Linked DNA regions of Rattus norvegicus. The protein of the gene in region 1 purifies or fractionates together with the protein of each later gene. This does not show direct contact. Links are inferred from orthologs where the notes say so. Each region holds a gene or a part of one and is shown in the gene's direction. Other genes may lie near its edges.

Region 1 (3,813 bases):
AGTGTTGCTTCCAACATGAGAAAGAGGATGGATTGAGTGGTAAAATAGTATGCTAGTCAGCTTTCTAGAACATGATAACATTTCTAAGGCTATTAACTTGAAAGAACAAAGTATTTTGGTTCATAGGTCCAATCCATGACTGCCTGGACTTGTCACTCTGAGCCTTTGGTGACGGATAATATCATGGTGGGGGCATGTGATAAAGTATAGCTGTTCACCTTATAGTGTCTATGAACCATTTAGGAACCAGGGTTTTGGTGATAGGGTCTTAAGGTCCTCTTTAGTGATGATTTTCTTCTACAAGGCCCCACCTCCTAAACACAGCCCAATTTTCCAGTAGTTCTATAAACCAGGCTTTTAATATACAGACTTTGGGGACATTTAAGATTCAGAATTCAACTGTGGGAAACTCTAGAGTTAAAAAGTTGATTGCATCAAAGGAGTCACTGACAAAGATTAGTATTTGATTTTCAGATTCTGAAATCTGCCCACCTGATGACCTTGCCTTATTACCAGCATGCAAAGAGAACCTTGAAGACTTCTTAGGCCCACCCTCCATAGCCACTTACCTGGATTCCAAGAGTCAGCTCTCTGTTAAAGTCAGTGTGGTTGGAACTGACCAGTCTGAGAATATCAATCTCCCTGATGATACAGAAGCCTTAAAACAGAAAATCCATGACTTGCAAACTGAGCTGGAAGGCTACCGGAACATCATTGTCCAGCTACAGAAGCATTCTCAGTGCAGTGAGGCTATTATTACAGTTTTGTGTGGGACAGAAGGGGCCCAAGATGGCCTGAACAAGCCTAAGGGCCACATCGATGAAGAAGAGATGACATTTTCAAGTTTGCACCAAGTAAGATATGTGAAGCACATGAAAATCCTCCGTCCACTAACCCCAGAAATAATTGATGGCAAGATGCTAGAGAGCCTCAAGCAGCAGCTGGTAGAACAGGAGCAGGAGCTACAGAAGGAGCAGGATTTGAACTTGGAACTTTTCGGTGAAATCCATAACCTGCAGAACAAGTTCCGAGACCTCTCGCCATCAAGGTACATCCTATTCCTGCTTCAGCCCGCCTCATTAGGCTTGTAGGTTTCCTAGGTTGTTGCTAGGTAGAAGCCCAGAAGCTGCTGAAGGAATGGTGCTCCATGGGTGGATAGTGTACCCTGGGGACAACTCGCCGGGCTTCAGGCAGCCGGGATCAGAGTGAAAGGCTAGGCTGCACAGCATTACTCTGTCCATATGCGCATTAGGGGCTGGCCAGCTTCTGAGATGGGCAGGACAGATGTTGCCCTGCTTGGGCTGAGGACTCAGCATAGAACTCCACGGCAATCAGTCAGGGATTGCAGTGTGTTTACTGAGCTGCCTGCCGTGTTTATTTTTGAACTCTATTATTGGCTTTTGCCATGTTGTGGAAATAAAATGGATGTCCTAAGCAGGTTAGGAGGAATATAAATGCTTTCCATATCTTTACCCTTTAAGGTCATTTTAGAGAAATAAGCCTGTGTTGAAAGCAAGAAATTCTTGGGTCATGAAGATAATGCTTTATGGTTATAAATATGTACATTGGCTTCATGAGATACGGCAAAAAAATGGGATAGTCTGTAAATTTGACCTTCATTCGTTACTAATTTGAGAAAAGCACTGTTCTGAATTGTCAAGAGCTAGAATGATTTTTTTTTCAAGGCTACCCAAGCAGCAAGACTGAGGGAAAGTTATTTATTGATGGGCTGTTGTATCAGCCCCCAGGCTCGGAAGTGTTTGTTTCATTTTGTTTTGAGATGGAGTTTCACCACGTAGTTCAAGCTGCCCTCAAATTCATAATCTTTCTGCCTCTGCCTCCTAAGTGCTGGGATTGCAAGCATGAACCACCCCACTGGGAAGGAACTGACTATTTAACTCCAGACACACTGAGCAGGAGCATTCTCAACTTGTTTTTGTTAGACAGAGAAACTGAGACTCAAAAGATTTCTGTGACTTGCCCATGGTCAGAGCCACTGCCAGGGTTCAAGCCCATACTGTTCCCTACCTAAGATGGCTGTCATGTGATTTGCTTGTAGGTTATTGGTATTAACAGTGGTCATGGTGAACAGAAGTGCCTGTCAGGCCACTCTAGATCCAGCTTGCTGTTTGCTTTTCCTCCTTGATTTGCTCTTAACAACTCCTGGGACTGCATAGAGAAGAGTGGCACCTGGTGGTGAGGGGGCAGTATTGTATAATAAATCTTCACAAGCTGTGTGTTTAAGAAGCAAAGCTTTACCTCTAAATACCTTTGAGAAATATTTCCTTTTCCTTTTCCTTTTTTTTTTTTTTTTTTAATGAATCCATTTGTTAGAAGCCTGGGAGAACCAGATGACCTAAGATAACTTGTTCCCATGATGGGACCTAGTCAGTCAGTAAGGTGGTAGCCGGGAGTCCGACTCTCTCAGTTGGAGGCAAGCAGCCCTATTTTTTTACCCTTGGTATATACATATTTGTACTTGGTGAGAATTTTCAGTGGGTCCCTGACCCTTGTGGCAATTGTTTCTACAACTCAGAATAGTGTCTTTGAAGAGTGTATGGAAACTAATTGTTCTCCTGAGTCCTTGCCAATCTATGCTTTAATTGGGGGCTTTCTACGGTTACAAATATTGCAGCAGAATCTCTGTTTAAGCATTTGTTGGCTGTTTGAACTCAAAGAAGGAGTGACCTTGTACAGTTTCAATTTTTCTAAAGTATATATGCTTGTACAGCTGCGGGCTTCCAGAAATTATGCTCTGTCATTTTTCCAATTAGTGTTAAGGTCACAAAAATTCAATTCTAAAATGACACACACATTTTCCTTCCCTCTTTTATCAGATACGATTCATTGGTTCAGTCCCAAGCAAGGGAGCTCTCTCTTCAGCGGCAGCAAATTAAGGATAGTCATGATATCTGTGTCGTTTGCCATCAACACATGAGCACCATGATCAAGGCATTTGAGGAACTTCTGCAGGCCAGTGATGTGGACAGTTGTGTGGCTGAGGGCTTCCGCGAGCAGCTAACACAGTGTGCTGGACTGCTAGAGCAACTGGAGAAGCTGTTTCTCCATGGTAAGTAGGTAGAGGCACTCAGTGTGACTCTCTGTGACTTCTTCAGTGGACACCAGGAGATTTGACTCCTTGCCTTTGCTGTACATACTGACCTGGCTGTTCTGCCATTAAGCCCAAACAGCCTTCTTTCTCATAGTCTTTGCACTTTGCTTCTCTTGTTTCTCCTTGCTTTTCCCAGCCACCCATTGGGTAAGAACTGGACAGGACATTTGTAAGACAGCAGTAGTCCTGTCACTCATTGACATCACTGTCCCATTCTCCTGCTCCCTTTTTCTCTGTTCTCATAGGGAGAAAGTGAGTGAGTAGATCCAGTTTTATGGTGTGGAAGAATGTGGTCTGTGAGAGAAAGTACCTTATCTGTGATCATGTTGGGAATGAATGGTCATGCTGGGGTTTTACAACTGATCTCTTAGCATAAGTCTGTTCCCTCTAGATCTATTTGTGTTCTTGATGTTGTAGACATTATTTGGTTGAAGCATCACAGTGCCCTTAAAATTGGACAATAACTCAGTGTCATAGTCACTGTCCTATTGCTATGAAGAGACACCATGACCAAGGCAGCTCATATGGAAAACAAAAAACATGTATTTGGAGTTTGCTTACAGTTTCAGAGGTTTAGTCCATTGTCATCATGGTGGGGAAGATGGCAGAATACAGACAATAGCTGAGAACTACATCATGATTTATAGGGAGTAGGGAGCATGACATTGGCCTTGCATGGGCTTTTGAAACCTCCAACACCA
Region 2 (3,813 bases), on another chromosome or scaffold:
CTGGGTGTGACTGACCTGCAGGGACAGCAGCAGCCACAGCAGCAGCCACAGCCACCCCAGGTGATGGGCACAGCGCTCAGCTTCACAGGGTCTTAACCTGTGCTCTGCCAGTGTTACCAGGGCACAGTGAGTCCCGGTTGCTGGTGGGCAGGTGGGAGAGACTTAGTCTAAAGTAGACAGGTGGGGGCGGTGGCTTGCCATCTCCTCTTTTGTCTTGTTATTTCCGCCTTCTCTCTGTAAGTCCATTCCCCCAGACAAATGGAGGGTCCCGTGTGGACACCTGCGGTTTGGAGTCTGCCATGGCTATGATGTGTGTTTGCTGTTGGTCACATGCTAGCATAGAGCTGGGGCGGCACCCTCTTGCTGTCCATCACACAGCAGCATAGACTGGGGCGGCACCCTCTTGCTGTCAATCACACAGCAGCGTAGAGCTGGGGCGGCACCCTCTGGCTGTCCATCACACAGCAGCATAGAGTGGGGCGGCACCCTCTTGCTCTCAATCACATGCCAGCATAGAGACAGGGCAGCGCCCTCAAGTTAGTTGCTCCTTTCCCTCCCATGTTCTTTTGCAATCTCTGCTTGGCGTTCCCCTGGCCATCTGGGTTTCTGACCTGGGTCTCATGAGGCCTGGCTCCTCTGCCCGCAGACAGCCCATAGCCTTGAACTAGAAGCTCTACGCTTGAGCCTGAACAACATGCATACAGCACAGCTGGAGCTGACGCAGGCCAACCTGCAGAAGGAGAAAGAGACCGCGCTGACGGAGCTGCGGGAAATGCTCAATGGCCGGCGGGCACAGGAGCTGGCGCTGCTGCAGAGCAGGCAGCAGTGTGAGCTGGAGCTGATGCGAGAGCAGCACGCCCGAGAGAAGGAAGAGATGGCGCTCCGCAACGAGCAGGAGACAGGTACTGCGCATGTGTACCGCTTGTCTTTTTCTGGTTATAGCGGAGTCCTCTTTCCAGACCTCTCACCCCTTCTCACACATCCATATTCTCATTCATTCTCTCTCTCTCTCTCTCTCTCTCTCTCTCTCTCTCTCTCTCTCTCTCTCTCTCTCTCTCTCACACACACACACACACACACACACACACACACACACACACACACACGCTTGAAGCAGCCTGCTGATTTTCCAAATCACTTTTACTTAAGTACACGTTACACGTTCCTGTTTCTTTTTTTTTTTTTTTTTTGGTTCTTTTTTTCGGAGCTGGGGACCGAACCCAGGGCCTTGCGCTTCCTAGGTAAGCGCTCTACCACTGAGCTAAATCCCCAACCCCTGTTTCTTTTTTTCTTAAAAGAATTGTTTATTTTATACATATGACTACACTTCCACAGTCCTCAGACACACCAGAAGAGGGCATCAGATCCCATTACAGATGGGTGTGAGCCACCATGTGGTTGCTGGGAATTGAACTCAGGACCTCTGAAGAGCAGTCACTGCTGTTAACTGCTGAGCCATCTCTCTAGCCCATGTTCCTGGTTTTTGTTTTGTTTTTTGTTTTTCTGTTCCTCCGAGGGAGATAAGCCATTCAGTGGGTCTTCTGTGAGGGAGGGAAGCCGTCCAGTGGGTTCTCTCTGTCGGCCAGTCCTTGATTGCGTTCCAGCTAGGCCCCCTGCAAACACAGGCAAACTCGACTGGGCATGCTTGGGTTGGCTATTCATCTTAGATATGGTCGTATTGCAGGTCTGTGTGCTGGGTCAGATACACTCTGTCTGCTGCCACCTGCCCATAGAGCAGCCCGGGGTGCCCTTCTCTTTAGTTGGTTATTTAGTTAGTGGTAGTTTGTGTGTATAGATGTTTGGCCTGCACCTATGTCTGTGGTCCACATGTATGTCTAGTGCCTGTGGCGGTCAGAAGAGGACATTGTTCCTCTAGCATTGCAGTTACAGATGGTTCCGAGCTACTGTGTGGTCCTGGGATATGTACCCAGGTCATATAGAAGTTCTTGAGCCATTTAACTGTTGTGAGCTATCTCTTTAGCCCCACGTCTTTTTTAAATATAACTAAGTATCAGCTTTATTGAGAAATAACTCCCTTGTCACACAGACTCTGTGTAAAGGAGCACACTTCGGTAGCCATTGCTGTATCTACGTAGGTTCCGTAGGTGTCTCCATAGCTAAGGGTGAGGAAGTCCATTACCTGGAGAGAGGGCTTACTTTTCTACTTGCCTTTCCAGCATCCCTGCGACAAACATTTTTCTTTCTAGCTGAGTAGCGTGGCTGTGCCGGGGAGAACCTTCTCCCTTGCCTGGCTCTCCTCAGTGGGAAAGACCAGTTTTCTTTTCCCAAGCTTTCCACGTGTCTTTTGGCACTTTGAAACAAAATACATACGTGTTTTTGTTTCATTCTCTTTTCCAATAGAAGCTCTCTCTTTTTAGCCTTTTCCACTTTCCATCCCAGTTGCCGAGGCCGTCGTCCTTGGGGTCCCTTGGTTAGGCCTGCAGCCCTAGGGAAGGAAGGCAAAGGGCTCCCTGGTACCCTGGGAAGTAGTACTTTACCCAGCAATGATGGACTCCAGACTTCAGTCAGCTTTAGACTTGTCTGCTGCTGCCTTGTACTGCCCCCTGCCCCCTGCCTCCTACTCCCTGCCCCCTGCCTCCTACCCCCTGCCCCCTGCCTCCTACCCCCTACCCCCCTGCCCCCTGCCCCCTGCCCCCTGCCCCCTGCCCCCTGCCCCCTGCCCCCTGCCCCCTGCCCTGTTTGTCTTCTTCAGGCCTACCCTCTGTGCACCTTTCCATCCGGGGACGTCTTCCTGGACTCTATCTTCTTGCGCTTCTCTCTGCTTGAGTTGGGAGCTCTTGGGTGGTAGGACAGTTCCTCATGTCTTACTCTCCAGTAGCTTACCTTGGCCCTGGAGTGGGCACATGAACTACAGTGCCCCGCAGTTCTCTTGTCTGAAGGTTCACACGGGTTTGGAGGGGCTGGGGATGGGACCCCAGCAGCTGATCTTCAGCTGTACTCTTAGGAGAACCTGAGAGCCTGGGAACCTCAGCGTTCTTTCTTTTGATGTGAGTAAGTCTTATACTTAAACGAACCATCACCTGGATGTCTTGTCATCCTGTGTGCAATGGAGTGGACAGTGGGAGCTTGAGCCCCATTATCTCCTGGGTAAGGAGATTGTGGAGAAAGTTGAGATCCTGTGGTCTGAACAACTTGTGAACATTTTGTCTTGCAGCTGAGCTTAAGGAAAAGTTCCGTTCAGAAATGGAGAAGACCGTTCAGATGATGGAGGTGTGTGATTGGTTGGGACTATAGTTCTGTGCGTATTCCGTTTTACCTTCACATTCCACTGACCTCCCCCATCATAAGGCAGAAAAGTCAGTCAAGGGAGCTGGAATGTGCTGGTAGGAGGTCAATTCTTTGTTGACCTCGTTCCTCAGAGATTGGGTTGTGCCACAACCTGCTTTTTCTATTAAATTAGACCCTGAAGCAGGATTGGGAATCTGAAAGAGAGTTATGTTTGGAAACTCTCCGCAAAGAGTTGTCTGCAAAGCATCAGTCGGAAATGGAGGGTTTGCAAAACCAGTTTCAGAAAGAGCTCTCGGAACAGAAGGCTGAATTGGAGAAGATTTTTCAAGCCAAACATGAGGCTGAAGGTGAGGCCCTGCTTCAGAGTGAGCGTAATGGGGGGTGTCGGTGAGGGGCTGAGTGCCTGCTAGGGAGAGCACTGTCTGCAGTGGACTTGCCTTTTCCCGTCTTTGTTTCCAGTGCGAGCTGCTGGGGACACACATACAAGGGCACGGGTGTTTCATAGGGCCCTCTAACATCTTCAGTTACTGTTCCTCCCGAAGCAGGAGTATGGTGGCTGGTCAC

Evidence for each region.
Region 2: the proteins of Cdk5rap2 (region 1) and Pcnt purify together in Homo sapiens (co-immunoprecipitation; 4 studies listed by BioGRID and IntAct, with this or other methods). This does not show direct contact. The link is inferred for Rattus norvegicus from reciprocal best matches to the Homo sapiens genes CDK5RAP2 and PCNT.

What each region holds. Positions count from the first base shown.
Region 1 is NC_086023.1:88,846,751-88,850,563, reverse strand, and holds part of Cdk5rap2 (CDK5 regulatory subunit-associated protein 2), read left to right. Parts: intron 1-474; coding exon 475-1,048; intron 1,049-2,837; coding exon 2,838-3,070; intron 3,071-3,813. UniProt on the Homo sapiens protein: Potential regulator of CDK5 activity via its interaction with CDK5R1. Negative regulator of centriole disengagement (licensing) which maintains centriole engagement and cohesion. Involved in regulation of mitotic spindle orientation.
Region 2 is NC_086038.1:12,198,789-12,202,601, forward strand, and holds part of Pcnt (pericentrin), read left to right. Parts: coding exon 1-60; intron 61-646; coding exon 647-902; intron 903-3,175; coding exon 3,176-3,231; intron 3,232-3,421; coding exon 3,422-3,596; intron 3,597-3,813. UniProt on the Homo sapiens protein: Integral component of the filamentous matrix of the centrosome involved in the initial establishment of organized microtubule arrays in both mitosis and meiosis. Plays a role, together with DISC1, in the microtubule network formation.